Bombyx mori: one gene and its partner. The protein of the gene in region 2 purifies or fractionates together with the protein of the main gene of each other region. This does not show direct contact. Links are inferred from orthologs where the notes say so. Each region holds a gene or a part of one and is shown on either strand. Other genes may lie near its edges.

Region 1 (16,535 bases), on a different chromosome or scaffold from region 2:
GATTGATTTGATCATGCTACTGTGCCACAGTTGAGTATGTAGATTGGATTGTATTGTTTACAATCAGATTTCTATTACTGTTTGTAGTAAAATTTATAATTAATTAATAGTTACTTATATAACTAATATAGCATGCACATAACTTAAATGCACTTTGAGTGGAGTCAGTTGCTAATAATGTGAATGCACATTTACAATTTTGTAAAGTGAGTTTTTTAAATATGTAGTCAGCTATCTGACTCTACATTTTCATTGCTAAATATAAATAAGTTTCATTTTAACAATCAATTTTGTTTTGTTTCAAAGTGCATTTATGTTTTACGCATCAATATTATACTTAATATTTATATGTTTTTACTTTTTAATTCATCATTTCATCTTTCATATTACACATTATTAAAGTCCATTTGTAAACCATTTGTTCATAAAGTTAACTTCATTTTAATTTAGGACATTTCAGTAATAATTATAAAATCGATTAAAAATATCACTAGTAGCCAAATACTGGAACCTTATCAATATAATTTGAAACATAACAATTCCCAATATTATGGTATTTAAAATTACTTGGTAAAAATACAGTATTTGGCAGTACTTTTCTTAAAATCTAATTAAGTCTCATCCTCACAACACTCTTCTATTTCATCATAGTTCTTTTCACAATAAATAAGTTCTGACGTACATTTGTACGGATGGATTGATTGTTAACATCGATCATTCTTGACTGACGGATTGAGATCGTGGAAATACGCATGCGCCATTGCATCATCAGCTGGCATTCTTAAAGCTGGATTGCAGGTGAGCAGCCGAGCGAGTAGATCTCGACCTCTAGCCGGCAATCTTGGTACAACTTGGGCGAGGCCTAAACTTGGCTGATAAACAGGCAAAGGTTTGTAGTCCGGCAGTTGAGTTACTCCAGGCCATGTGTCCTCATTGGGTGTACCTGATAAGTAAACATAGTTTGATTGAAAAAGGATAACTGACAGATTAATACACCCATACAATACCAGTGACACACTTCCTATTTGTATGTCAATGAATAAGTCTTTGCAAATGGCACAATATTTACAATGCAAGAGCTTTGATGTAATTTTCCTAGACAAATCTATATATTTTTACTAAAAATATGTAAAAGTTAACTATTATTTTGTAACACTTCAGTACACTCTGTAGGCATTTTTATAAATACTATGTTTACCGTAAGTTTCTGAAATGCAGAAGAAGAAATCTTATGATGGCAGAAAATTATATTCATTTGCTAATTAAAGTATTTATGATATATATATAGAAGGGGTCTGCAATATGACTCAGCAAAAAAATTAAATAACAACACAAAATTTGAAACATGAGTCGACTATTATCAAAGGCGGCAATCTGACTTTTTGACAATGATTGGTAAATCAGAAAAACGAATTATTGACTTTGTATTCCATTGGCAGTCACAAAACTCTTCGGAACGACATCTTAGATAAATAACAGGTTAACTATTAACCTTTATTTAATGCAGGTTTTGAACCGTATTCTTTGAAGGAGACGATTATATTCAAATAAATCTGTATTGACATATCAATAAAAAAAATTTGTCCAAATGTACAGATTGCCACCTTTGATAATAGACGACTCACATGTTCAAACTTTAATGGTATAATATGTATTTTTTAGTTTAATATGGTACATGATGTCATGATTGACTATTTTAGTAAAAAAAATGATTTATTATTTAAATGCCGAAGTGTTCATCAATTACAATAAGTTATAGGAAAGGAAACACTATTCCTACTTAATGACATTGTTCGACCGTGAGTGTTGGGATTAACATTCTTATATTATTTTGTACTTGGAGGACTAGGCTAACAACTTTTGTCAGGCCGGTAATCTTTATGCCAACCCATAGATTGTTTCTAACTTTTTTATGCAGAATCTGCAATCTAATAGGGGGTTGACTAGAAAATAGTATGTGTGGAATTATCAGACAGCTGTTTACTAAGCCCCCAACAGAATAAAGTAGCAATGGTGATATGGTATATTGTAAGCCTACTCTCTAGTTTGTTGGGAGAGTTAAAATTCAATAAATTTATTTTACATATTGTTATAATCTGTCCGATCCTTTAAATAAGGCATCAATCAGACATAATCATAGTTCTTACTTTTGCATAATTATATGCAGTTAATGTTGGTATTAAGCTCAGAGACTCGGCCATTCAAATTTAATTTAAGATCTAAACCAGTTTTGTGATATGACTTTTTATTGTCACCAAGAGCCCTTATGTGGTTTTCAATATAAAATCATAATTAGGCTTCCTAAATTCAGAATAGAGTAATAAAACTTTGGAGATTTATTATGATGAACTCACCTAAAAGCTTAAAAATCCTCTTTAATTGATCATCAACATCTGAACCTGGGAATAGCGGTCTGCCCGAATTTGCAAGTTCTGCAAATATACATCCAGCAGACCACATATCAATGCTTGTTGTGTACAACTTAGCACCAAATAATACATCAGGAGGCCGGTACCATAAGGTTACAACTTCAGCGGAATAGCACTTTACTGGTATGCCAAAAGCTCTGGCCAGACCAAAATCAGCTAACTTTAATTCACCGTTCTTGTTTATTAAGAGATTCTGTGGCTTCAAGTCCCTATGGAGAACGTTGTGGCTGTGACAAAAAGCTAGTCCTCGAAGTAATTGATACATGAATGATTTCACAACATCTAGATCTATTTCTCCATTCAAACTATCGAAGTATTTTTTTAAGTCTTGATCACAATGTTCAAACACTAGGGTTAATTTCTTTTCGCTGTGCAATACATCGTAAAGTCGCACTATATTTTTATGCTTTAATTCTTTGAGAAGACATATTTCACGAAGAGCGGAAGATGGTACTCCTTCATCGTCGTCGTCTAATCTAACACGTTTGAGCGCTACGATTTCGTGTGTTTCTTTATTCTTGGCTTTAAATACCGTACCATAGGTTCCTTCACCGATTTTTTCAAGTTTCTCATATTTTTGCATATTTTTGAACTACAGATTTACTCACTTTAGTTCGATCGATTGTTTTTAATTTAGACTGACTTATATTAAGTGTATAATCTATGGACTGACTGATTTTTGAGTAGTTGTTCTATTTTTCCAACCGGACAGGCACAGGTATCTTACTATACAGCCTACGCTTTTGATATATATTTTTTGAATAATGATAATATGAAGTGAAATTAAATGAATTTGATTAATTTGGAACGTTAATCACTTGACATGAAATGAAATTAAATGAGATGAGATAGTATGGGGTGAAATATAATCTCAGTAAAAAGTTGATTGTTTACTGAGACTTTTTTGTGGACTTTTTGGAAGATCCCGAGAAGCTACGTCCAGCGACTTTGTTTTATTTTCCCATATTTGTGTACTTTTACAGATACTAAACAGTTAATAAGCCACGATTAATCACACACTACCACATTTAAACCTGAAGAAACACTAAATATACAGAATAAAACAATTCACACAACTTCACTCCTCGCATTCCTGCTAAAAAGTCCTCTGTCTTATTAGTACATACTACATGTTGGAGTTTGAATATGAAAGTAATGGCCGGCAACAGTTGACACATGTAAGGTTACAGTTTCGAATATTGGAATTATTTTAAAAGTCTAAAATAAATAATTGTGTTCTCGTCAGTGAAGACAACGACTTCTCATCTAGACACGGTCAGAGCAACATCTAAGAGTTTTATAAAAAATAAAACATTGTAATAATGTTATAGTGTACAAAGTGTTTGCAATATAATTATATTAACCATGAAGCAGAGTGTTTTTAAATAGCCCCTCATCAACCTACAGAACCCAATCCCCTCAAATTTCACCGTCCAACACTACATACAACTATCTTATAAATCTACATATTATTATGCATGTGAAGGGCCGTCAAACATTCATTCGCAAACTTAGCAGCTGTGCAAATGGGTTCGGTAGTCAATTCGCGAACCCGTTTGCGCTTCCTCCTACACTTGTTTACGAATGTCTCACGAATTTCTCCTCCTTTTTAATTCGTCAATAGACATTGAAGAGAAAAAGAGTTTTGAATTCTTTCCCAGACATCATTAACAGCCATGCTGTTTTTATGGGATTTCTTTTGATGAAGATACGTTACACAGTAGACGTCACGAACTATGAAAATGACGATACGTCCGTTACCTTCGTAATCGTCGGCGCAACTGGGCAAACGAATGTGTGGGAGACTACGCGAAGGCTCGCGGTTCGCGCGCTTTGATGTCTGTTAAAAAACCGACACAGCTTGGAAAACCACGAATGTAGCGAAAACTTTGCATAATCATTTGCAAATGTCGTCCTACACTTGCGGGTTTGCGTATTCGTGCGCATGTGAGTGACCGGTGTTATAAACGTGCAAGGAAATCATAGTATTAGAGCATACAGGCGCAGGTCTAATGCTTTTTCTTTTTGGAAGAATTTGGATTTTGTGGCCTGGGAAAGAGACCTTTAAGGCAAGTCAAACGCTAATCCAGATTAAAAGGTGTCTTTGAGGGATTAAAAATATATGAAATGAAATTGCCCCGCGCCCGTCTCGCTCAGTCGTTCGTTGTCACATAATGTCGCATAAAGCATTTGGATTGTTTTGATCTCACGTAAACAATCGAACTATAACAGTTCCTTTAAGCTGTTATTCAATACTAAACTTTATCCAGCCAGTAACCTGATAATATTATTTACGTCATAAATTGATGTAATAAACGGTAACCCAAACGTTCGACTGAACGGGTCGTACGAACCGGATCATTTTGTCAACAGGTCAGTACCGTAAAATGGGGCGATTAGGGACAAATTCCAACTTTATGAGCAATTTTAAGGTAGTTGTTGATGTATATAATGCTATATCAGGATCAAAATGATTGAGTCTTGGGGGCATCTTTGTTGTCTAATTTAAAAATAAGCAACTAGCATTCCAGTTTAAGCAAAAAATGCAAAAATAGGTGTAATCCCTATTTACCCGAAAATTGCGGTTAATTGGGACGAAATGAGAAATTTGCTAGGGTTGGCACTACTTTTATTTTTATATATAGTTTTAATTTATTTATTTATTTAGTTGCACCAACAAAGTGATCATCAATAAAAAAAATTGAAAAACTGACAAAAGTACATGGCAGACATCACCTCAATTATAGGTGCAATCGACAGTGCAGTAACAACAAAATATATATATATATATATATATATATTTACACATATATAGTGGGCTTTCTTAGAAACGGTTTATATTTCTCCGTTCTTGGTAAGTACTTAGGGGGCTGATATTTCTATCTGGGTTAAGAGATTAGGTGTGTCGGTTATTCCATGGATTAATCAGATGAATACCCCCACTCTGAACAAATATTAAATATTCTATTATGTATTACTGAAACATTTTTGTCACCTTGAGATTTCATTGATCTTGTTACATGTCTCTGCAAAATCGACTTACTTATATTAAATTGCTTATCTATTTCAACTAAAGACTTATTCCCAATTTCGCTTCGATAAACCAGATTTTTACCAACAAATTTAAAAAAGATTGTTATAACTACATAGACAACCCTACAAACCTGTACCTATTTATACTTAGGTCGTTTCCATTTCACGTATTCTCATCCCAATTGACCCCTTTTTCGTTGTTATTTGTACCTAAGACGTCCCCAATATCCCCAAGAACAACAGATTTTTACATGTATTTTTATTTAATCAAATACATTAAAACCAATAACAACTGAGACTTACCTTTAATATATATGCTGGTTCAAACACTAAATAACGTTTATAAATCATAGTCGTCTTCTATTATTATCAAATAAATAAAAGAGAGCAAAGTTTCTAGCACTAAAATAATTACCACCACAGGAAGTTAATTTGAAACGCGATTTTTTATAAGTTAGCAGCTATTATCATGCATATTCAGAGTTGTTTTGTGAACTTTCAACATTCTACTATTAAACTACAAAAAAATGGAAGATTTTGCAACGAATATAAAACTTATATTGAGCGTCGAAAGATTTTCCCGGTTTTTTCCCGATTCGCCTTTCAATCCCTAATCGCCCCATTTTACCGGTACTGATCTGAATCTCTAAAATTGAACGAACGACACATATCTAGTGGTCACACTGAATCAAAGCCAAAAACTTGAATTGTCATACTGTCAAATATTCTCTGATTTATTTGTACCTACTTGTTACCTAGTTTTGTTGTGTGTTAATATATAAATATTATCTGTTACTTTCGCTTTCTAGAAACTTTTAAAGGTAAGAGTAAGATAAATGTCCTCTTGATAAATTCAAGTTGCGATGTCGATAAGATGTTTTTCAACATGAAAATAGTTGATTGAATGATAAACATTAACTACGTATTATCTTTACGATCGAACAAACACCACGCTTTATTTACAGATGAGTGAAGAAAGCAAAGCTTTGACGGACAAGTCTGAAAGCAGCTCTTTCGAAGACTTAGCGGCTGCGGCTGCTGAGGAGATCGAGGAAGCGAAACTTGCCGAAGCTGCCGCAGCAGAGAAGGAAAAATCCCCAGAAGTAAAGAATGACGAATGGCAAGATGTTCTTGGGTCCGGAGCTCTGCTTAAAAAGGTTGCTTAAAGTTTAAAAATATTAATCTAAACTTCTTCTTTAAATCAATAGATTAAATAAATAAAAATTTAATTTCGTTCATTACTTAACGATTTATTCACCGAAAAGTTTTTATAATGGGATAAAAAAAACTAAAACCCATAATTTTAATATAAAAAAAAATAACTGTACATGAGGCAAATTTAAAATATTTCAAATATATTTTCCGCTTTTAATTTTTTATTCCAAATTAAACAAGGAAACTTGTATCCAAAGTCTTAATAAAAAGAAGAAAATGTTTAATGGTTAAAATCAAATGCATAAAGTAGTAAAATCACCTCGGAAATTGCATCAATTGACTAAAACTTACAAGAGTATTCTACTGTGGAACATTTGCTACATTTCAAAGCAAAAGAAACTCCCATTTGCAGATATTGAAACAAGGGGATGAAATATCTGGATCCAGACCACAAAGAGGGGACATATGCAGAATCAGCTATGAACTCAAAATAAAAGACAGTAACAACATTGTGGAGAAAAGAGATCAGATAAAAATATATTTAGGAGACAATGAGGTGAGTTAAAACTGATTCTAATATATATTATCTAATAAAGTTTTTTGAAGTGAACTGAAATAATCCTAGAGTCATTAATGTTGACACTGATTTTGGTTTTGTGGTTGGATGATGAGGTTTATCACCCATGTACTAGCGATAGACATTCCAAAACAAATTTAATAATTATGAATAATCTGTGTGAAGATGATTAAAAAAAAGCTTTAGGGCTGCTAATATGAAGCTTTGTCATTTCCAGAAGTTCTTGTTTCTTATTATTCACAGATAATATATTGATGATAATTTTTGGGATTATGAATATATTTAGTACATTTTATCAGTTTCTGCCTTTGAGGGTTTATAGTAAAAAGTATCTTGTAAAGTAGGTGATGCAAAGACTAAAAATGTTTTAAATTTAGGTATATTTTTGTGTTAAAGATCTATTATTTGTTCTTATCAGAAATCTGTTGTGAGCGATATCTTTTCCTTGATTTACTTATATGCATTACTTTATATACTGTAATATGATGGCCATATTGATTAGATAATTTTTGTTTGCATCTTATAAAATTTAAGACTATAGAAATGAATGCATGAAAGTTTTGCAAAAGTGATGAATAGCATTTGAAATCTATATGTCAGTTAAAAATATTCAAAAATATAATTTTATTCAGAAATGAATGATTTTGTAACTTTATATTTTTTTTAGTAAGATGTATTTATATTGTTTCATAATCATTATTATTTATGGGTATTTATAGGATGTATTTATTGATTTTGAGAATTTAAGAATTAAATCATATTTTTGCAGTTTTCTTCTGAGAGGTTCCACTAACCTACTGTCTTTCTTTTTAGGAATGTGTTCCCTTGCACTCTATACATATTGCAAACCAACAAAAAATAACCATAAACATTACAGCAACTATAAACTAATTATAGACGAAAAGTATCTAGGGCAGTTTTGTTCCTAAATAATATCTCTTCTATATAATTGAGTAAAATTATTTTAACTAAAACAACTGAAACTGTTTCATTAAATAAATTTAATATTTTAGGTATTGCAAGGTTTGGACCTAGCATTAACTTTAATGTACAGAGGTGAGGAATGTATTTTGCAACTTGCTCCAAGATTTGCCTATGGAGAAATGGGACTTAAACCAGGTGAGAGCCTTGGATTAGTCGGACAGTGTGATGAACCCAAGTATAAAGGACCTATTATTGGACCAGACACATGGCTTGAAGCCAAATTAGTGCTGCATGATTGGTCAGAAGAACCTGAACACGATGTATTGTCAATAGCGGAAAAAATGGAAATCGGGTAATGTATTTATGTTTCTGTTTCAACTATAATATAATTTTCTACTTTTAATTTATAGCTAAACTAAAATAGAACTAAAAAAAAATATTTCAATTTAATGTTGCTATTATGATTTTACCAGTAGGATACGTAAGCAAAGAAAAACTCATGAAAGTTATGTTGAATTACAATAGTTGTTGGATTTTAAGTTCATAATTAGAATATCCACAGAATAAAGCTTGTGTATTATTTAAAATATATACTACGGCACTGCACTACTAATGCATAGGTTAATGAGCTCCTAGCTCACCTGGTCTTTAGTTTTAAAACCAGAATGCCACCACCCACCTTGAGATATGGGATTGAAGTGTCAATAGTATTGTATAACAGCCTTTTTATTGTTCCATGATTCAGACATAAATGGTGTTGACTACCCTTTCTGACTCACAATGGGCCTCTAACTTATATTTTTTAATTATGATTTTATACCTAAAATATTCAATTATGTTAATTTTGTAGTCTAAATTAGCAAATACGTTGATTTCATAATGCCCTTGAATAATGTTGATATAGCTCAGAATAATATTATCAAGGTCCCACCAAATGTTGCAATAGTTGGTTAAACATGTTGACTGATTAATAATATTTAAATTGGGACAAAACTTTAATATATTCACTTGGTGCTATTTTAAGGGTAAGTTGGTATTTAAAAACATATTGCATTGAAGTTGGCCATGTCTTAATCAGTAAGACGCCAGTCCAACTCATATAGATTGATGCAATATTTTGCAACTATATATATTTATTTCAAGCCTTGCAAGGATTTTTCAAAAAACTTATTAACCTTTAAGCTTTATCAAAAGCAGATAGAACATCGTGTAATAAAAATAAAAATTGTGTAAAAAAAATGCTTATTTATCCGTGGCAGGTTATTAGAGCTGGGGTATATATAACACCATCCACATGTTTTATGTTGAGTGGCGACATTCCTATTGTATTTTCTACGGATTCCATTATCTATTTCACTAATTAATGAGTCATGACTAATTTGTGAAATTGTCATGACCAATGTAGAACAAAAAAAATATGCAAATGTTTAAAAAATATATAATATGAAAAAATTGCCTGCATTTTACTTGTAAAGATAAGCTTATGAGCCCGAAAACAGAGTTTACTAATAGCTATTTATTAGTTCAATTACTTAAGTCTGATTACTTGTGAAATATGGAGAGTTTTGTATGTTCGTATTCAATTTGTTGGTACTATGTTATTATATACTCACTATAATATTAATACCATCACCCAACCGGACAAAAAGAACAAAGTATCAAACGCATTGTAATTTGTTTAAAAAAATATTTCAGAATTCGTCGTAGAGCCCGCGGTAACTGGTGGTACGGTCGTGATGAACCACAACTAGCGGTGCAGCTATATCGGAGAGCTCTCGACATTCTGGACGAAAGCGAAGGAGGGATCACTGATCCCACGCCGTCTGGGGAACTCACATTCGCTAACCAGGCACTGAAAGAGTTGCTGGATGAACGACTCAGGGTTCATAACAACATGGCTGCTGCTCAACTCAAGGCCGGAGCTTATGAAGCTGCTTTACAGGTACGCCGTGTGACAGATTTAAAAAATGTACAAAGGTACTCATTTAATACAAAATTGCAATAAATTTTAACGAAATTTTGATTAAAAATAGTAAAAATTTACTATATATTAGACACGAACTGTTTTCGTTTGAAATATAAAAGTTGATTCGCCATAAAAATACGTTTATTAAATATTTTAGGCCGTAACCAGAGTACTTTCATGTCAACCGAAAAACGCTAAAGCTCTTTATCGCAAATCACGCATTCTATCTGCGATGGGACGGAACCCTGAAGCCCTGGAGGCAGCTAAAGCAGCGGCGGCCGCAGCCCCCGAGGATACTGGTGCTAAAAAAGAATTACAACGATGCGAACAAAGAGCTTCTAGGGATCGTTCTGTGGAAAGGAAACTGGCTAAACGTATGCTGGGCACTACTGACGTGTCGGCGAAAAGCGATGCACCCTCTCCCGATAAGAAACCTTCCAGGTCTAAGGTTAGTTTGGCAATGTGTTAATGTTGAAGTGTTTTTGTGTATCTTAAAAAATGCTATACTTCATCAAGTACATTTTTTTATGGCTCATTCCCCTCTTTAGATTTACCCGTTTTGAAATGGAGGTCTTACTGCATGGTACACTGATGCTGTCAGACCTCAATTGCATTGACGAAGTTTGTCAGTAGGGGCATTTTGAGAATTTCAAAATGAGACTGTTTATTCTGATCATCGTATTTTGAAGCTGAGGTCTTGGATAGCGAGGGCCTTTAATATGATATACCAATCATTTTTCTATAGCCAGAAATGTTCTGGAGCATTTATCTGTTTGTGGCCTCATGTAGCGTACAGGTGTCAGCAAACACTTTTTCCCGTCGGTGTCGTAAAACCGACTAAGAGATTCATAAGAAACGGCAAAAGGAAGATCTTCCACCTAGCCAGTGAAATCGCTCGGTAGATTGACGGTCCGAATGGAATTCTTCGAAGTTTATATACTACTAGCTGACCCGGCAGACTTCGTAGTGCCTCAATCGATAAATAAAAGACCTAAGCTTTTGTATAAAATAAACTTAAAACAAACAAAAGGAATCCGTCTGATGGGGGACACATCAAAGGGAAAACAAAATTGTTATTTTTATTTAATTTCGAGCACTTTCATATTTATCTACATTTTAAACCTTCTCTGGACTTCCACAAATAATTCAAGACCAAAATTAGCCAAATCGGTCAAGCCGTTTTCATGTTATGTCGTGACAACGGAAAACGGGTTTCATTTTTATATATATAGATATGTATATAGTATATCTAGTTCGCATCGATAGGTACTACCACCCCGCGCACTATTTCTGCCGTGAAGCAGTAATGCGTTTCGGCTTGAAGGGTGGGGCAACTCTTGTAACTATACTGAGACCTTAGAACTTATATCCCAAAGTGGGTGGCGCATTTACGTTGTAGATGGCTCCAGTAACCACTGAACACCAGTGGGCTGTGAGCTCGTCCACACATCTAAAGCAATAAAAAAAAACTTGTCTTGAAATTGTCATGAGATTCTGGCATAGTGTCCAATAACTTGTGTTCTGTGATAGCTACCACTAAACTAGCTTTTAATTTTATTTATGATTCTGCAGATCCTAGTGTGGGGCTCGCTTCTGCTCAGCTTGTTGGTGGGTGTCGCCAGCGTCCTCGTATACAGATATAAAATGCAGGCGCACTGACGCGACGTTCATTTTACGATGTTTAGAACATATGTAAGTAAATACCCTATTATCAGTACATAATGTATTATATTCTATATTGTTCCCTCACTGCTGAGGATCTCGACCACATATGACCTTCCTCCATAGTGTTCGGTCATGGGTGGCATGGATCGCATGGTTCCAGACTATTACCAAGTGCTTCTCTTACTAGATCTGACCATCTGGCTGGTGTTACTGGTATACTGTATTAAAACTTCCTAAATACAACGATCAGGATACTAACCTGTGTTATGTTTATGGATTTTAAAAAAACTCTTTCTAACCAGGAAATGAAAATTTTGGTAAACTATAGTACATTGTGCACCAAGGGAGACAAGTTGGACATTGCCTCCCGCGTGTAAAATAGCAAACACGTGGCAGGGAATGTCCAACTTTTCTCCCGCGGTGCACATACTATTTTTTCTCCTACCAGGCCGAAAGTTCGTGAAGTACCGAGCCGGGGTCCAAGGGTGAAGCCCAGGTGGGGGCAGGGGGGCGGAGCCCCCCCTTACTCATAAAAAAAAACCAATTTCACTGTTTTTTTATTTTTAAATAGTACTACTACTAATTAAATAAGAACTGTCTGATGAACTCATCTTTGTTCAATACTTCACTATTAAATTTTATTGCCTTTTGTTTATTTCACTTTTACACTAAACACAATATTGTAAATTACCCGAGCACAACAATGGCGGAGAATTTTAGGTGCGTGAGAGCAGACGTAGACACTAACGCGCATGCGCACTTGTACCCAGGGAGAAAAAGTTACACTTTCTTCCCTGTAAAGCGGGACGAAAACCGAACTTTCGGCGTAGGTAGGAGAAAAAAATAATATTCATGTTACTGGGAAAATTCTGAATTTTTTTAAATATTCAATAGGATCAGTATCAAAAATGGAACATTTAAGTGAATCAAGTTTGAACACTATCAATGACTAAAAAAAACATTTCATGCTAAACATTTACCATTTTCCAGTTAATGGAGATTTTGTTGGTGTGGAGTGAATTAGTCGGTGGAAGGTGCACATTATACTTAAGGACACCATAATACGCTGATACTACTGACTTGATTACTAAAAGATATATGACTTCAATATTCGCTGTTGTGTTAGTATTAATAAATATCACAGTTAGGCATTGTTATATAATAAACAATATAATTAAACAAAACTCAAGTAGAACTTGCTGTCAACTTAGATAGCTAACTTCAGTTCTAATAGTAAGGAGTCTTGTTGATGTGCTCAATATCAATTTATTATAAATCAATATTAGGATGCATACGTTTGATGTTGATAATACTTGATATTATAAAAATTTAAATCATTAATCAATATAAGAAGTACATATTATCGAAAATTACTTGAAATAGATGTAAAAAAAAAATTCAGCTGTTACATAATATGAATATCATGTGATTTTTATTCGTCCCATATCCTTAGAAGTTGCAGTTTTAGTATCACTTAGGTAATTCTATTCTTGTTTGTATTGTAAAAAGGGTATAGGCTTAGGTAAATGAATACTGCTTTGAGAAAACTATTTACAATTGCACATTATTATTTTCCATAATATAGTTTTTTTTTTAATAATTATATTTCGTTTTCGAGATTTTTAATATTGAAAAGCCTTAGGGTAACATAAAATGTAAAGGCAAAAATATCTGTTGTAATTTGATTTAAAATTGTGTTTTAAATTCACTAGTCATCATTAAACTTTTAAACAGCCTGTATAATGTATGTGTTTGTGTCAGAACTCACGACTGGTGCCAAACATGTACATATGTATTTATTTGATTATTTATAATTAATATTAATGATACTGTAAACGTATAAAAATATATTTTTTGACTATTTTCTACATAAGAGACAAAGTCATTCCAATTGTATTTTCAAGGAATATGTTTGATAATACTTTTTTTATATTTTTATTTCGCTTCAATCGTTTCGCTAAGAGCTGCATTTAAAATCTCAGTCTTGGGAGTTTTAACACAGTTTAAACCCTAATATGTATATATAATGTATATTTTTATACTATGTTTCTTGTTCGCAAACATCATCAAGCATCACAATAATAGTTTTCATCCTTCAAAAAAAAAAAGGTTCTGAATAAAGAAATTTATCAAACACTTGTTTTATTTAAAAATATACATATACAAAAATTATGGTTTCGCATACTTATGTTGCTATTTATACATATTATAGGAATGCAGTCATCTATGATTCCATAGTTCCTTAGACTAATTAACATCAACGATGGCTGCCTGTGTTTTAAAACCGTAATATTATAAAAGTGTATTATCTATGATAGTAATTACATACATGTACTGACGTACTTTCTTTCAGCTTAAAACGCCTGCGCGTGTGGCTCCGCCATGCGGGCGACGAACTAAGCTCAAGTGTTAGAACCTTCGCCTAACCACAGCATCATTTAATTTTTATTAGTCACGTTTAATGTGTACGTAACTATGTTCACCCACAGCTGTGTATTCACTGTAACTATACTTGAGACTTTAGAACTTATATCTCAAGGTGGGTGGCGCATTTACGTTGTATATTTCTATGGGCTCCACAAACCTCTTAACACCAGGTGGGCTGTGAGCATGTCCACTAACAAAAAAAAAAAAAAAATTCAGCCAAACCATCCTTGTAAAAAATATACAAATTCATAAAACAATCATATCATTTTCAACTTTATTATATTACACTTTTCTGCTTTGTTAATACTTACCTCAGTCCTGATCTAGTGATTAGTACTCTAGCCAGCCAACTCGTAACATGCGTTAAAAAAATAATATAACCTATGGTAGCTAACGCCTGTACACCAAAGACTGTTGCAACGAAATCGTATAATAGTTTAGGAGAGAAGACAGACCACACAAATAAATGGTGTCGAAATATTGTCGCTATCACTGTATATAAGACGACAGCGTATACTCTGTGGAGCGCCAATATGTTTGTAGCCCGCCATATTGATTTTAAGTACCTGTAAGAAATTTTAAAATGTTAAATTTGTGATGAATTGCTGTGACATTTATGTGGAGTTCACGACTTGGAGTTTTAACTACTTTTACGGTTTAAGTTTCACCTTTTTATAACTAGTGGTCCCTCAGTATTCGAAAGGGGAATGCCCACTCTCCATAGTGTGCTAGGCCCAAGATGGACATCGAATATTACTATAAAAATGTACTGATTCAAATTCTTAAATGTATTGGATATCTAAAAAATATATTTAAATTAACGCCACTATTATAAAAAATATAATAAAAATAGAAACTCGTTTTGAAGTTAATTTTCTATATAAATAAGTGTCGGATTGTGAGATACTTCAAGAACTTTTCTTTTCTTAATGTTTAAGATGTTCCTAATGTATTTTTATCCAATACGGTATAAAAAAACCCACTTAATTCTTTAAATATCTATATTTTCTTCATCTTCATACACAATTAGTAAATTATCTAAAAATAGCAAAGGAGAGCATATACACGGTTTTAAATCTCGATCAGGGTAAAACCACAATTCACACAATGTTTTTTAGTCGTAGTATGAAACGTTAATGATAAAAGTGAAATAAATCGAAGAAAAATCAAAACACAACCATTTTGTACGCAAGCACAACACCTCAAGCAGCAAGCGAAGTGTCAGTCGGTCAGATTAAATTCAGTGTTGTCAGTATTAAGAAAAATAATTACATGAAATTCATATATCGATTATTTTTTTAAATAACCGATAATTTATTTATATCTTAATCTTTTTTTTACGAGTACACATTATTTTTTATGTTTTTGTTTTAGTTGTACATATTTAAATAACAATACTAGTAAAGTTTTTTTTATTGCTTAGATGGGTGGACGAGCTCACAGACACCCTGGTGTTGCTAAGTGGTTCCTCGAGCCCACATACACCTACAACATAAATGCGCCACCCACCTTGAGATATAAGTTCTAAGGTCTCAAGTATAGTTACAAGTTAAAGTCCAATGGGTATGTCTTCGATGTTATTTTATGTGCATAAAATCCATTAAAATCTATTGATTAATGTTAATACTTAAAATGATTTATTTATATACTCAAAATATTTACTTCAAACGTAAAAGGTTTTGAAGCTGGCAATATTTTCCCCGCAAAAATCAAAATCCTTGTTTTTTCAATAGAGCTACTTTTTTTAAAGTACTTATTGTAAACTGTAGTGGCGCTCATTTGGAAGGAAGTAAATGCATATTTATTTATGACAAAATTAATGCACTAAGTCACTAAGTATTTTTTCTATAATCTATTGTCCGCTTTGGGCCTAAAATGGGCATTCCCCTTTGACTATAATTAATTGAAATTATAAGTTTGAACATTATTAAGGTTCTAATTTCAAAGACTATTATACTTCTATAATCAAATATTTCACCAATAGACAACTATAGACAAATAATAATAAAGATTAGTAGTTTGTATGTACGAATTGCGATAATCATTTTGAAGTCGTCGTGGCCTAAAGGCTAAGACGTCCGTTACATTCGTATCTAGCGATGCACCGGTGTTCGAATCCCGCTGGCGGGTACCAATTTTTTCTAATGAAAGACGTACTTGACAAATGCTCACGATTGACTTCCACGGTGAAGGAATAACATCGTGTAATAAAAATCAAATCAGCAAAATTATAATTTGCGTAATTATCACTTCATCACTTAACACCGACTGTGAGCTCGTCCACCCGTCTAACTACTGGGTACTATCACTTACTGTTGCCAATCGCGGGCCTCCGCAGCGAGGGTGCAGAACAGCACGG
Region 2 (16,671 bases):
TAAATTACTTACCTACAACTTCTACATAGTGTAAAGGAAAATCAATCAAAGTAATCTTTAAAATGTTGAGTATATTTTAGGATCTGTGCACTACTCTGTGGCTATATAATAATATGTTAGTCTATAATTTAGTTTAGTTAGTCTATAATGTATTATTACAATATGTATCTATGTCACTTCACTTCCCTTCCGCTCTGCTAATAAAATGGTGCCCGTACTTTTGTGTAATAATTTGCCAAGAGAAATCCAATACGCTTCCACTGCGCAACGACCGCCACTTGGAGTTTAAAAGAATTAATTTAACGAAGAAGAAATATAATAGTAACAATAAAAGCGAAAAGTCGAGAGGAAGACAAAAAATTACTCGGTACTAAAATGGCGGACGACGCTTCAAGAAAATTACTTCCAGAGTTTACTGGAACTAATTTCAGCACGTGGATATTTCGAATATCATGCATCCTAGAGGAAAAGGAATGCAAAGAAGCAATTGAAGATGGCATAACAGAGGAAATATTGAAGTCAGAAAAATTCAAAAAGAAAGACGCAAAAGCTAGAAGTTTGATAGTCAACTGCCTCTCAGACAAACACTTGGAATACGTCAGAAGCGCTACGAGTGCAAAAGAGATGATCGAAAACTTACGAAAAATATTCAAAAGAAAAAGTACGTTATCTGCGTTATACGTCAGGAAGAAATTATTAACCTTAAAATGTGACCCCAGTGTCGAACTGAGCGACCACTTCAACAATTTTGATATGTTAATAAGACAATTAGAAGAAACTGGAAGCACTGTAAATGAACAAGACAAGGTGTGCCACTTACTACTGACTATGCCTGACAGCTACAATACTACAATTGCCGCCTTAGAAACTACTAATGTGGAACTCACAACAGAGTATGTCAAAAGCAAATTGTTAGATGCAGAACTAAAAAACCAAAATAATTCAATGGAATCACAGGATGCACACAGCTTCCTCAGTTGCTTTAAATGTGGTAAAACTGGTCACAAAGCTATACAGTGCAGAACTGGACACTTAATGAGAGGACAGCATCGAGGCAAAATGGGCAACGTCGGATATTTCAACGGAAGTTACACTAGAGACTTCTATCGAGGCAACGGCAGAGACTTCAATCCAGGTAACGGCAGAGGCTTTAACCGAAGCAATCCCAGAGGCAACGTGAGAGGACAATCGAGGGGATCATCAAGGGACACCATACTCCAACAAGGAAAAAGTGCTTTAAGTGAGAGAAATCCATTTTCTTTTGTTGCCAGTGAAAAGGTACTATCTGTTGATGTGTATAATGAGGACATTAAGTTTATTATTGATTCAGGAGCATCTCAAAATTTAGTCATTGATAGTTATGAAAAGTACATGTCAAACATTGAATATTTAGAAACTAAAACTAAGATTTATGTTGCTAATGGTCAATATTTGTTTTCAAGTAAAAAAGGGATTTTAAATGTAAAATATAATAACTTACCTATTAAAATAGAAGCACTACTTGTCAAGGGGCTATCCCACAACTTATTATCTGTTAAAAAATTATTAGAGAAAGGAAATTCTGTCAGATTTCATAAAAATTCTGTATCAATTGCTAAAGGAAATAACATAATTTATGGTACCATGCTTAATAGTCTGTATGCAATCAATCTAACATTAAACTTAGAAAAATGTTATTCGATAAATAATGATAAAGATCTATGGCACAAAAGGTTAGGACATGCTAATAGAAAACACTTAAAATTATTGAAATTACCTATCTCAGAAAAACCATGTGGAATATGTGTAGAAGGAAAATCAACAAGATTACCATTCTCTACAACACCCAAGCCGAGATCAAAGTATATAGGAGAACTCATACACACAGATATATCAGGACCAATAAATATTCCTACACTTACAAATGAGGTATATTTTCATACAATTATAGATGATTACACACATTTCTGTGAGGTATACTTATTACAAAGAAAAAGTGAGGCAACCGATAGGCTCATAGAATATGTTAATAGAATGGAAAGACAAATAGAATGTAAAGTCAAGAAAATCAGAAGTGATAATGGTGGTGAGTTTAAAAATGAAAAACTAAATAAATTTTGCAAAGATAAGGGAATTGTTCAACAGTTTACTTTGCCTTATAGCCCACAATCAAACGGAGTTTCAGAACGCATGAACAGAAATATTTATAACAGAGCTCGGACTTTATTAATTGAATCTGGTTTACCAAAAACCTTATGGGGTGAAGCGGTGCGATGTGCTGTCTATCAAACCAACAGATGTCCATCGTCTGCTATCAACTTTCAAACTCCAGCAGAGAAAATGTTTGGAAACAAAGACTTAACAAGACTTAGGATATTTGGATCAAAATCATGGGTTCATATCATACCAAAACAAGATAAACTTTTACAAAGAGCTAAAGAAATGAGACTCGTAGGATATAGCCCAAATGGATATCGTCTATGGGACCCTACAAGTAATAAAGTGATAGTGTCAAGAGATGTCAGAATTGATGAAACTCAATTAAACTACAAGGAAACTGAAGAAAAGCATAACATAAAAGGAGAAACATACTATGAAGATGAATTAATACAAAATGAAGATACTGAGAAGGACACAAAAGATGACCAAGAGATAAGAATACTTAATGAGAATGATGAAAACATGCAACATGATAGAATACCTGATAAAACAAATAAAGAAGTATCAAAGAATAATCAAGATGATGAAGAAGAAAATGAAAAATTGAATAAAAAAGGTAGAATAAATATACAGAAATATATAACAAGATCAGGAAGAGAAATTCGCAAACCAAAAAACTTAGAAGAATATGATCTAAATATAGCATACTGTCTTTTATCGGGAGATCCACAAGAATTTGAAGATGCAATTCATGACAAAGACTGGGAAAAAGCAATAAAGACAGAATTAAATTCACAAGTGAAATTAGAGACATGGGAAGAAGCTACATTACCAATGGGAAGTAAAGCAATAGACACAAAATGGGTATTCAGAACTAAACAAAATGGAACCAAGAGAGCTCGATTAGTAGCGAAAGGTTTTCAGCAACAGAACAATGATAATCATTATGCTCCGGTAGCCAAATTGTCAACTATCAGATTAATGATGAGTTTAGCAGTTCAACTGGATTTGTCATTAAAGCAATTGGACGTACCAACAGCCTTCTTAAATGGAAAATTAAATGACAATGTCTATATAAAATGTCCCAAAGGAATGGAAATTAGTGAAGGAAAAGTTTTAAAACTTAAAAGGGCTTTGTATGGATTAAAAGAAGCACCTAAATGCTGGAATCAAAGATTTAATAATTTTGTCATTCAGAAAGGGTTTGTACAATCACAGCATGATTTATGTCTATATGGAAAAGGAAAAATCTGGATATTACTCTATGTGGATGATATTTTATACCTTGGAAATAGCAATGAGATGATAAAGGAATTAGAAAAGGAATTTAAAGTAAAAAACTTAGGAGAAGTACATCAATATTTAGGATTGGAAGTAACAAGAACAGAAGACAGCTTGGAAATAAGACAAACAGAAATAATTAAAAGACTCCTGGAGAAATATCACATGCAAGATTGCAAATCAAGCAAGACTCCAATGGAAATTAATTTTAATGTAAACATTCCATCACCATCAGATATAATTGAAGTACCCTTCAAGGAATTAATAGGATCTTTGTTGTACATTGCTGTGAATAGTCGACCGGATATTGCTTATGCTGTATCATTCTTAAGCAGATTCTTAGATAAACCCACACAAGAATTATGGACAGCAAGTAAGAGAGTGTTACGTTATCTTAAAGGAACCTCGCATCAGGGACTGATTTATAGGAAGACCGAAGAGTACACAAAACTTATAGCCTACTCAGACGCTGACTGGGCAGCAGATAGAACAGACCGTAAGAGCACAAGTGGCTGTGCTATATATCAAGGCCAGAACTTAATAACTTGGTTCTCTAGAAAGCAAACATGTACCGCCCTGTCAACAGCTGAAGCTGAGTATGTGGCTGGAGCACACTCAATGAGTGAACTTATTCACATCAAAGGATACATACATACTTTCTGACATATTAAGTACTAGTATCATTTCAGCTCATTTATTGATTGACAATCAGAGTACAATAAAATTGATACAAAATCAGATGAATACTAAAGCTTCTAAACATATTGAAATAAAATATCACTACATTAAAGATTTAATTTATAAGAAAATAGTGTCAATCTCATATGTGCCTACAAATGAAAATATCTCTGATATATTTACAAAATCTTTAACTATTCAAAAACATAATTATTTTTGTAGCAAGTTGAATTTAGTTTAAATATTGTATTAGAAAAGCTATGCATATGTTATACATATTTAATTGTTTAGCATTATTATTATCTTAAGAGAATTAATTAGATAACTGTTAATTTAGTAAATATTTTAATGTAACTAATATTGAAAGAAAAAGAAAAAAGGTATTTATGATAAATAGTGTTAGTAATGCACAGAGTGGACAGTTAACAAAATTTGTAATTCATTAAACTTGTATTTTGTTTGAACAATTTTAGCAGTTGTAAACTTCTATAAATTGAGGGGGTGTGTTGAGTATATTTTAGGATCTGTGCACTACTCTGTGGCTATATAATAATATGTTAGTCTATAATTTAGTTTAGTTAGTCTATAATGTATTATTACAATATGTATCTATGTCACTTCACTTCCCTTCCGCTCTGCTAATAAAATGGTGCCCGTACTTTTGTGTAATAATTTGCCAAGAGAAATCCAATATAAAATTGGTTTTGTATTTTCTGAGATCAGTTCATAAATAATAAACAAAAAGCAAATATAAAATTTCTAAATTTCTTTGGATTAGTAATTATTAATTTCGATGATTTTTATTAGGTATTAAAGTTCTTGATATTTAGACGCTGTTGCAGCCGCCATGATAACGTGTAGACTAAAAATCCTATTAAAATCCCCTTTGATAATAGTGATTATAACATCGATAATAATTGTTTTAATGAAATACTAAAAATACGAATACTAGATTACTCACAGCAAATAGTGGTTTCTTTGTAATCATTTCGGCAATTATGCATCCAACTGACCACAGGTCTATTTTTTCAGAGTAATAGCGTGCTCCATACAACAATTCCGGAGCACGATACCACCTGTAATTTAGTGAAGTTTAAAGTAAAGTTATATACGAAGGTATGGAATTCTCAGTCCATAAACAATGCCAACGATACGATTTTATAATTTGAAAATTCACTAAACGATGCGGAGGCCGACCAAGAGGGCTGGTGGTCGTGGCGCCGACCACCGCCGGTCCGGCGTCCCGAGGGGGAAGGTGATGGGAGAGATGTGCTCCGCACTAAGCGCTTCACTTTCTCCCCTTTTCCTTTCATGAGTTCTGTCTCATGCGAGGTTTCGATGCTGGTTGTTGAGCAACAGGAGGTTTTAGTCGGTTCAACTCCGACATGCCCCGCCCTCCATCCCCAGGGGAGGGCGGAAGTCCGGTGATTTCCTCCTGACAAAAAAAAACGATGCGGACGTGGCTTCTTTGATTGTTTAATTAAATAATATAGTGCGTATTAACCTTGTGGCCACTTGATGTGAATAGGGCCTACCACCCTCAGGCCAGTATAGTCGCGCTAATCCTAGATCTGCTATTTTCAATATTCCCTCATGATTTATTAACAGGTTTGCTGGTTTCAGATCCTTAAACACAATAAAAGCTATACATTTTTACGAATATCTTTGAAATTATATTTTGAATTAACATTTAAATGAATAATTGAAATGCTCTGGATTATTCTAGAAAGTACTAATTATAATGATATACTATACCCTATGCATGACGTAATGAGCATGCATGTAACGCATTCCCTTTAATAACATTTCTGCATAAGTTTTGACTCTAGCTATTGTCAGTTCATGCTCGCATTGGTGCAACATTTCCCATAATCCGGAGTACATATATTCTAGCACGAGAACAAGACTCATGCCGCGCGGGAACATATCGTATAGTTTAATAATCTGAAATTAGAAAAAAGATAAATCAATCACTGTGCAGTTTTGTTACGGTGTTATTTTTTCGAACTGTGAAATGGCAATCCTTTCTGTTTAAAAATCACACCAAACGCCGCCTTAACTGTGGGATCTGTCTACTTGGATAAAGCGGCACGACACGAGAATCCTCTCATCGTGGCCGCCGGTAACTACATGCCCGATCCTGCGGACAGAATGGAAAGCAGTTGACCTCGCCCCAAACACGTCATTTCGGATCCTCCCGATCCACTAACGGTGCTTTTAGGTACCTCAAGCACTGGTCATCGTTCTCGTCGAACCCGTCGCTTGCGACGAAAGGCTCTACGAGTAAATTAACCCTCAGACACAGCCCACTGAGTTTCTCGCTGGATCTTCTCAGTGGGTCGCGTTTCCGATCCGGTGGTAGATTCTGCGAAGCACGGCTCTTGCTAGGGTTCGTGTTAGCAACGTCATCAGGTTTGAACCCCGTGAGCTCACCTACTAGTTAAAGCGACGCTGATATAGCCTCTCAGGGCTATCAACTTAGGTAGGAAAAAAAAGGGATCTGTATCGTTTTCATATATTTACTTTAAATAAAATACAATACAATTTCCTGCAATTAGATAAGTAATTTGAGCTTTTTGACGGTCTTTTTTTTGTAACGGTATTTTTTAGGACGAAAGGATTGGATTTAAATTACAGTGAATTTAAACAAGTACTGACGTATTTACATCTTAGTAGTTGTAAAGCCTTGATCTCTCTCATGACATGGACCGGTATTCCATCTTCAAGATTCTTTATCAGAATTTTCTTTAAGGCCACCTCGCGACCTGTTGTGTTGTGTTTGGCTTTGAAAACAAGCCCGTGGGCTCCTTCACCGATTCGACCAACGACTGTATAATTATTAACATCATAATCCATCTTAGAAACTATGGAATCTAATATAACATTAAAACAGATTATAATCCCTAAGTTTTATCTACAAAACTTTAATATTACAATAACATATTTTATAATCAACACAGTATTGTTGGCGACTGGTTGCTATGACGATTAAGGAACGTTCACATGTGCACTAGAAAAATATGCTAATAAATTTTTTTAGAAAAATTGAGTAGCTCTGAAACGCTGGATTTATCTACATTTCTTTAAATTTTTTTATGTGCCATTTTTGCATCTCTAACCGACTGAATTAAAAAAAAATTACTCATGTACGCGGTAGTCCGAGCCACTAAGTTTAACTCCACGTTTGAGCTCGTAAAAACATAAATATTGCAAATAAAAACAAGAAGAAAAGTGTTTTGTCATAATTGAATATGATCGAATTGCATCGTAAATGCCGTGTCGTAGTTGTTTATACTCGTTGTTCCACTTAAGCTACTAAAAAACAGTAAAGAAAATTGTCGACGTTGCAAATTCTATGTTACGAAGGTAGGTACTTCCAACGAAGCATCTCGTTTCGCAAGACTATGGACTATCTAAAACAGCGTACGTTCAGCGCTTTAAAATGCTGTAGCACTGTCTGATACCAAAAAATATGTTCTCCTCCCATTTGAGTGCATGATTTGTTATCTGGCCCAAATCACAACGGTTAATTTAGCACATACTAGGATTCCCTTTACTATAGGAACCACAGACTGCTAAAATACCTTTAAATAAATTAGTACAATGTAGAATAAAATATTCAGGCCAAAAAGCATAATTTAAGTTAATGAGCAATAAGCCTCTCAGACACACGAATGTGTAGCCGATGTGTGAATCGAACCCACGAATATTGGCTCAGCAGTCAGGTACAACTACTACCAAGTCAGAAGAAAATAATTACAACTCATTATAATGAATGTTTGTCTATATGCACGTATTCTAGCCAAGTTCTACCATAACATTTTTATATTACAATGAATCGGTTCTAAATTGAGCATGTTTGTACAGATGTGAAATTTTCTTTTATTGCTCATAATACCTACTGCGTGCCCTCCTCATAAACTTATATCATTTTGAATTCCACGTCAGTCACAACTAGTCACTTTTGGTGTAGTGTCCGTTTTCTCCACAATGTGGTTAAAGTTTTTCTACTTCTTTAGTTTAGTTTTATGTCCGTGTTATGCGGCTCAAGGCGCTTCGATATTAGCAGTCTTCTCTTCACTTTCCTATTCAGATCATCTGGTTTTTCGGGGCTATGTGTCTCTCCTCGCTCAAAGAGGACATTCCGTTGTGGTCATGACTCCTTATCCAGGCGAGTTTCAATATCCGGAGGTAGAAAACATAATCGAGCTAGATGTTAGTCAAGAATCAGCACCGTTTTGGGAGGAGTACAAAAGGCTGATGACCAATACGGACGATTACTATCCGCGGCTTAAAGCACTGAACGAGCTCTCACTAAAAATTGCCATAGCGCAGCTGAAGTCCAAGCAAATGACGGCGCTGCTCATTAATCCTAATGTAAAATTCGACTTGGTAATAACTGAAGCAGATGTACCATTACTTTACGCTTTAGCTGACAAATACCAGACTCCACATATAACGATAAGTACATTTAATGGAAAAATTCACCAGTACGAAGCTAAAGGCAATCCCATTCACCCTATTTTGTATCCCGACGTGAACTCACTGAACTACGGTAATTTGACTCGTTGGCAGAAAATTATCGAATTCTACAGACACATACAAACGAAAACAGAGTTTTACAACAACTATTTGCCGTTATGCGATGTTGCCGCCAAAAAGATACTAGGATTGAAAAGAGATTTACAAGAAGTTGAATATGACATCGATATGTTGTTCATTGCCAGTAATCCGCTGTTAATCGGGAATAGACCGGTTGTACCTGCCATACAATTTGTGGATCGGATGCATATTAAACCAAGGATGAGTCTTCCGCAGGTATTTATTTTTATATATTACAACGTTATGTTTTAGGTTATGTTCGGTGTTATGATGGCGGTCTCTCTCGGTAACCGGATTCGGAGTGGCTGGAGAAATCGAGGCCGTGCGAAGCTCATTAGGCTTAAAATAAAGAACCACGGTTTTGCCTCTGAATCTGATCTAGAGGGGTATCCCCAAACATCAGCAGTGCCGCCACGTGGAGACGTTTTCGATAACGATTCCGTCAGTCTGGCGCTCTTGCGGTGGCTGCTGGTTGAGGTATTGACTGCGGCCACTTCTCTTACCTGTCTCGGAAGGGTTGTTGACTGATGGTTCATGCTCGGACGATCTGTATGGGAGAGTCAGTTAGTTGATCACTTACATCACCCGATTTCGTCTAACGGACTTCCATCTGCATAACCACATTTTCGACGAGGGAGGGTGCTACATAAATCGAGTGCCCTAGGCACACCCCTTATATATATTCAGCCGCAGGCACATAAAAGGGTATGTTGTGGGCAAGAACCCGCAGAACAAGAAGAAGTAGAAGGGAGAAGCAGTTATCAATTTCCGTTAGATCTCGTATCTCATGTGTTAGATGATATGGTTTCTAGGTGGTGATGACTTTGGACTCAGGTCACAAAATGGTTCTTTGCTAACTCTGTCGAAAATGGTTTCTCTGACAAAAATATATGCTTAAACAGATTGCTTTATAAGATTAGGCAGCCTATTGCTTATATTTTATATGCATAAAGTTTTATTGTTATAAGACTTTACTGTTCATTATTTGTGATGTTCATAACATATGGATTTTAATTAAGAGATAGTATTCTATAGCTACAGATCATTAACGCTGCAGAAATATTTTTATGTAAGTAATGAATGTACTTGCAAAATTTTGTTTTAGAATTTACAATCATTGTTAGACTCTCAAACGAAGGGAGTAATTTACTTTAGCTTGGGAACTCTACAAGAGGCGGAGAAATTATCTGTTAAAACACTTCAAGTTTTCGCGGATGCTTTTAGAGAATTACCTTTCACAGTTTTGTGGAAGATTGGTAAAATGAGCACGTTAAAGCTATCTGATAACGTTATCACAGACGTATGGTTTCCGCAACAACAATTATTGGGTAATTATTATTTTTTGCAGATTTTATTTAGGTACTGGTAATGAGACAATATTAAGATAATTAATGAATTTTAACTTTTTTTTTCGATATTCATTTATTTTAAGTAGTGACATTTTTATGCCATTAATACTCCAAAATCCAAATAATTATTTGAAACTTTTAAATAGATTTTTTTCTCTATTTACAGCACACAAAAACGTAAGGGCATTTATAACTCACGGCGGACCTAGATCTTTGGAAGAAGCACTATTTTATGAAGTACCAATCATAGGTTTTCCTCTTATCACATCTAGAAAGATATTTATAAGAGAGCTTACCAAGTACGGCGCTGGTGAAATCTTGGACCCCTTACACATTGACAAACAAACATTGAAACAGGTCATATCCACAGTGGCCACTGATGAAAAGTAAGTATGAAATTGAAATAAGTTTTAATTCGGAAACTTGGTATCTACTTACTGACTTCTTTTAAAATTTTCAGGTACAAAAAAGCGATAATTAAGCTTAAAGGTATGGTTGTCGATCCGTTGATTTCGGGTCCCGACAACGCTGTCTGGTGGACTGAATACGTTCTTCGTAACCGCGGCGCACAACATCTACGTTCACCAGTTGTTGGCGTTACCTTCATCAAATATTACATGTTGGACATTCTTACTTATATACTTGCAGTCGTTCTATTTCTGCTATATTTAACTTTTCTTGTGCTGAAATGTATTTACAGACGTTTACGAGCACGATTTGTGCTGAGAACTGGTCAAGGACCAGAAGGAAAATTCAAGGCTTTGTAAATCGAATTAAAATGTTTATTTAGTATCGATAATATTAAACATATTTTGTGAAATTTGTTTTTAATTACACCAGTAGTACTTGTGTTCTACGGTACAAACCTTAACATTGAGATACCTATAAGTTTGAGGATCGAATAAAATTGGTTTTCTACACGTTTCATACCCTTCGTACCGGAATATCTACCGGAGTGGTTTATCTCAGAACCAAAAAGGGTGACATTTTTTATAGGCAAATAAATAATAATTAATATTGCTGAGCTTCAGTTAGGAACTTCATGTATTAAAAACCAACAAAAGATGGATATTAGGGGGTGTATGCCACCGCTCATCTGGAAACATGATTCGATTGAATGAATTGACTGATTGTGCCCGGACAGAGTTCAGTACTGAGAGCCCATAGACAATACAAGTGAAAGCCGCCACTCGCCTGGAGATACGAGGTTGATTTATTAAATTGTAAAACATGTGTCCCACTCATTAAGTCAGGATGCATGACGACAGAAATAGACACGATAGTAGGCACAAATATTAAGTGTATAACCTATGGTAGGTACTTAATCTTAAAAACTTTATAAGCTTAAAAATGGTTTCTTTAAGAGATTTTATGACCTGGTAACTAAAACCTTTAGGTCAAGTCTTTTTTTAATGCTAGCAATGGTAACATCCATTTTGGGGATGTGGAATTGTATTTATAAATTTTCAAAGAGTAAAATTTTTTTTAAAGGCTTTGAATTATAAAATTTATTAAAACTTTGAATTAAATAAATTGCTAGCGTGGTAGCCTCTTCCGACGAAAACCAATATTTCCTATTCTAAGCCACATGCCACCTCTATTCAATTTGGTACCGTACATAGAATGTGTTGCTATTTCTTTGCATACCACAGTGCAAAAAAATAAGAAAAACATGACATTGACATTGACTACTATGTATGTACAGATATCAGCAATTTAAAACTTTTAAAAGCTTGGGAATTAAAAGAATTATAAAATTTATATTAATATTTCACACAGGTACGCTGTCTAACATATGATTCTGATATTATGACGAAGTAATAATTCTGAAAAAAAGATTCTGAGACTAATATAAATAGTAATATCACTTAGACAATACAACAGTAAATACAATCTATACAGCTCAGCTGTAGATTGTTCCATTACAGAATGGCAGCTGTAAGATCGTGTCCAGGACTGTATTGTGGTCGTATTGAACTCGAAGATGGGTCGTGGAGTGACTGTGGGGCGTGTCCGCGAGGTTTCAGGACAAACGCATCAAGTTACTGCATGCCGTGCGTTGATGAACCCTCTCTATATGACTGGCAGTACCTTGGCTTTATGGTCCTCCTGCCCATGGTTTTGCATTGGTTTTTCATTGACATGGTCACCAGGGGTAAAGCGTGAGTATTTCATACTTAAAGAAAACAATTCATAATATTAGTTCCATCTTTACATAAATTTCAAACTCGATTATTACTATCCTAGTAGCCAATCTCAGGCTCACTATTTACAAGGCTCATGAAACTATAAGCAGAATGAAATTGGAATACGGACACAGTCACATTGTGCTTACCTATTTATTATGAGGGATAAGATTTCGAAAAAGTAAATCATAATATTTAAATCTAAGGTAGTTTTCCATTTTCACTGAATCACCTGTCTCGTCTCATCAACAATTTTGTTAGCTCTACAAGAAAGTTTGATAATACAGAACTAAAAATATTTTGAGATTCTTGACTTATGTATTTTAAATTAACATTTCAGCGAGAATGGCGTTATCATACAACACATGTGTGCCTTTTTGGAGGTCATATCAGGAACACTTGCCGCATTGTTAGTGCTGCCTCCGCCTGGGTCAGTCTCACTATATATGTGTTCACCAAAAGCACTTTCGGATTGGTATACACTGTTGCATAATCCACAGCCAGATTATAAAGAGATGTTGCATTGTACTCAGGAAGCAGTGTATCCTTTGTAAGTATTAAATTTTTCTTATTAGTAATTTAGTAATTTCTTTTATTGCCCTTGTAGGCTGATGAGCATATAGTCTACCTGATGATGAGTGATTACCGTTGTTCATGGACGCTAGCAATGCCAGGGGTAGAGCCAAAATCACTCTATGATGCAACTTGTAATGTAAGTAGAAAAATTAACAAATTTGAAATTTTGATATTGTTTAGTCAATAAAACTTTCAGCTTATCTCATAGATGAAAAAAATTGAATTTTTCATTTGAATGTAAGTCCTAAAAAATTTCAGAGTAGTAAGCCAATTTATTTAACCATCATGTAATCATTTATAAGTTTAACTTCTATTAGATGTTCCCTCACTTTGCCAAAGCACTATAGCACGAATAAACTTATTAAAGTGTGGTGATTTGGGGACTGTGATTATTTTGACTGGCAGTCATTTGGTCTGACACATTTGGATTACTTGGTATATGTTAGCAATATTGCGTTATTAATCTACTTCTTAATTTAATTGTCAATTACTTGCTGTCATCCTTATCTGTCCATCATTAAACTTATAAATTAATTTGTGAGTTGATTATCAATATCAAAATTGAGTAAAATAAGGTGGGATTGTCACATGTTGTATTTTTATTAATAACTAGCGACCCGCCCTCGCTTCGCTTCGGAAACATTAAAACACACATGAAACCAAAAAAATAAAATAAAAAAAAATTAAAAAAAGTAGCCTATGTTCATCAGGGACGATGTCGGCTTCTAATGGAAAAAGAATTTTTCAAATCGGTCCAGTAGTTTCGGAGCCTATTCGAAACAAACAAACAAACAAATCTTTCCTCTTTATAATATTAGTATAGATTACCATTTCTGTTGCTAAAACTTGTTTATTTCTTTGTCGTGGATTTTGTGTCATTTCCTTCACTTCCTGTTGTGCAAATTTAATTGCCATACAAGATTTTGAAATTAAAAGATATAATTTTTTTTTTTTTTCAGATATACAATAGTTTTTCTGATTTATGCATTCAGCTTATTAATGACCATAACATTAAGACCATGGTTACTGGCCTGGAATGCACCCAATTCTGGTAAAAAGGCAATATATTGTGCTTTATATTTTCATCCTATACTTGTATTGATTCATACTGTTGCTGCCGGTTTAATTTGTGAGTACACATTTTCTTAATGCATCATTTAGAAGTCTTGATCTGATCAAAGTGATTTTGATCCTTTTTTCACCCTGATATTTTTTGTTTTTTAAAAGACAAATCCTATTCATTTCTTGTGTGTTACATGAATATTGTTTTTGTCCCCAACATAAAACTGTTGACATATATTATAAAACTATGTTCTTATTTTTATAATATAACACTTTTAATATTTGAAATTACATATATTATATTACAGAAGGTCTCGAAGATGAATTTACTGATATGAATGATATTGTTCAGGTGTATAATGCTAAACTTTAATTTTAACATTAAATGTTGCTTTTAAAGTAAATTACTTATTAAGATATTATTATTTATTAAATTATAGCTTATATTGATTTTATTCCTCAGATAGTTGAACAAGCTCATGGAAAAGCTAGTGTTAAGCGATTACCAGGTAGGCAGCGGCTTGGCTCTGCCCCTGGCATTGCTGAAGTCCATGAGCGACGGTAACCACTCACCATCAGGTGGGCCGTATGCTCGTCGGCCTACAAGGGCAATAAAAAAAAAAAAAAAAAAAAAAAACCAGAGCCACTTGAGGTCTCATAAATGTAGTAATTATGCAAATTCAGAATTTTTTATAACATGTAATTTTTTGTTTACTGTGGAAGTCATACGTGAACATTAGTTAAGAACAAATCGTCTTCTCGCATTAAAACTATAATCTCAAAACTTTATAATTTTACAGTGTTTTAAAGGTTTTAACATGTGATATTTTTAATATTAATCATCTTTGCAACATTTTTTATTTATTTATTACCAGTTACATTATCTGTCTTTTAAAGTAAGTTAAAATTATGTATTAATTTTGTTAATAATAGTCAAAATGTAGGTAAAAAAACTAATACTAAACTACGCTCTTTTGACAGTATTTATAAGAAAAATACTGGTTATATTAACTGAATTTCGAATATTTTTGGGAATTGTACGCTTTTAATGCGAAAAGTCGAAATTATATTAAAAACTGGTACTACCGGTGGGATTAAAGAGCACTGCCACAGTCGAGTAGTTTGGTATGAATACACAGAGTATATTAACGTTCTTAATGGTTTCAAAATTATTATATATACATGTTTTATTTTTTTCAGATTGCTCATTCCCCTACATAGTAATAATAATATCAATGATGACATCAGCATCGCATTTCTCAATTAAATCAGAACAGTCTGCGCCAGCACTATTGATTTCTTCTATCACTAATACACGGAATTTAATTATTCTCTTTGGACACTGGTTGGTCCATGCATATGGCATATTATCACTAACGGGGTTTAAAGAATTATGGTATTTGTCGTTAGTGCCCGCTCCGGCTATGTTTTATATTGTGACGGCACAATTCACAGATCCCTTGAAGATACATGGTGATTGATTGGTAAAAGTTAAATCTGATTTCATCAGAATGACTTTGTGATAGCACTATGCATTCTTGAAGATAACAAGTAACAGGTGTACACATTTCTGAAATCCTGTTCATTGTTTGTGTTAATGAAAAGAATTAATATCATCGTTACATTAGTGCTTTGAACTCGCAGGTCCAAACTAGGATTTTGTTGACTGATGGGAAAATTACAAGATAATAACTATAATGAATAATTTGCAAAATTGTTAAATTAGCTGAAATGGGTGAATGGATTAATGTTTAAAATTATTACAGCCATCTGTCGATATTATGTTGTCATCTTAATGAATTTATTGGGGACAGGGAAAGATTTCTGGAGTGAGTTTGCTCTCATGAATATTAGGATAATTGTGTTGAATGTTAAAGTACATTGTTAGTGAAATAATAATTTATAAATTAAGTTGAATTTCATTCGCTTTTGTTGGTATGATTTAATCTTGTACTAAATGATATATTATGTTTGCTTGTTGGATTTATTTTTATTTGCCACACTACAAATATTGAGAATTTGCAAGAATTGAGCGTGCTCTGTTAGCGCAGCTAAGAGGTCGGTTTGCAGAAAACGAAAGCTTAACAATAACATTGTTGAGTCTTATCACCTCTTCGGGTTATCTTCGTTCAATCGATCAGATGTAGTCAACATTGTAAATAAATTATTTTCATACAAAGTTACTATTTATTTTCATCACCGTTAATAAAATTCAGTTGATAAGATTTATTGGTCTATCGTGACTAGCATCCTTGATTTTCTTTCTATCTCAGAAGGTCCGTTGACTCTTATTTTCAACGCTTCTCAGCAACCAAAGAAAGATGGTTACACGGCTAAAAGTTGCATATTAGGTATGTGTTAATGATAATCCACGTCATTTCAGATCCTCTCGATTCACTAACGGTGCTTCTAGGTACCTCAAGCACCGGTCATCGTTCTCGTTGAACCCATTGCTTGCGACGAAGGGTTTAGCGAGTAAATTACACTATAAAGAAATTGTATTTTAATTCTATTAAAAACTTGTTTCATTTATAAAAAAAAACACTTGATCCGATACTGGAGCTACGCAAAGAATCGTATCGAATCGAATCAATGGTATCGATACTTGGATCCTTTCCTGTATTATGGTCCATTGCATAAATAATAAATAATACCCTGGTCCATTGCGATTTCGTTTCCGACCCTGCGGACAGAATGGGAAGCAGTCGACGTCGCCCCAAACACGTCATTTCGGATCCTCCCGATCCACTAACGGTGCTTTTAGGTACCTCAAGCACCGGTCATCGTTCTCGTTGAAC

Evidence for each region.
Region 1: the proteins of cyclin-dependent kinase 20 (region 2) and peptidyl-prolyl cis-trans isomerase FKBP8 purify together in Homo sapiens (affinity purification with mass spectrometry; 5 studies listed by BioGRID and IntAct, with this or other methods). This does not show direct contact. The link is inferred for Bombyx mori from reciprocal best matches to the Homo sapiens genes CDK20 and FKBP8.

The regions. Positions count from the first base shown.
Region 1 is NC_085125.1:9,568,871-9,585,405, forward strand, and holds peptidyl-prolyl cis-trans isomerase FKBP8, read left to right. Parts: upstream 1-6,099; 5' UTR 6,100-6,283; intron 6,284-6,427; coding exon 6,428-6,619; intron 6,620-7,029; coding exon 7,030-7,173; intron 7,174-8,207; coding exon 8,208-8,470; intron 8,471-9,813; coding exon 9,814-10,060; intron 10,061-10,241; coding exon 10,242-10,532; intron 10,533-11,656; coding exon 11,657-11,743; 3' UTR 11,744-11,776; exon of another isoform or gene 11,777-12,739; 3' UTR 12,740-13,883; downstream 13,884-16,535. Other genes in the region: cyclin dependent kinase 5, read right to left, coding at 705-943, 2,355-3,012; GPI ethanolamine phosphate transferase 2, read right to left, coding at 14,484-14,742, 16,490-16,535. UniProt on the Homo sapiens protein: Constitutively inactive PPiase, which becomes active when bound to calmodulin and calcium. Seems to act as a chaperone for BCL2, targets it to the mitochondria and modulates its phosphorylation state.
Region 2 is NC_085131.1:6,623,942-6,640,612, reverse strand, and holds the start of cyclin-dependent kinase 20, read right to left. Parts: upstream 7,101-16,671; 5' UTR 6,955-7,100; coding exon 6,757-6,954; intron 6,043-6,756; coding exon 5,854-6,042; intron 5,725-5,853; coding exon 5,603-5,724; intron 5,175-5,602; coding exon 5,060-5,174; intron 1-5,059. Other genes in the region: Ugt2 (uridine diphosphate glucosyltransferase precursor), read left to right, coding at 8,089-8,916, 9,806-10,028, 10,216-10,435, 10,510-10,816; JNK1/MAPK8-associated membrane protein, read left to right, coding at 11,979-12,211, 12,576-12,785, 13,771-13,940, 15,074-15,354. UniProt on the Homo sapiens protein: Required for high-level Shh responses in the developing neural tube.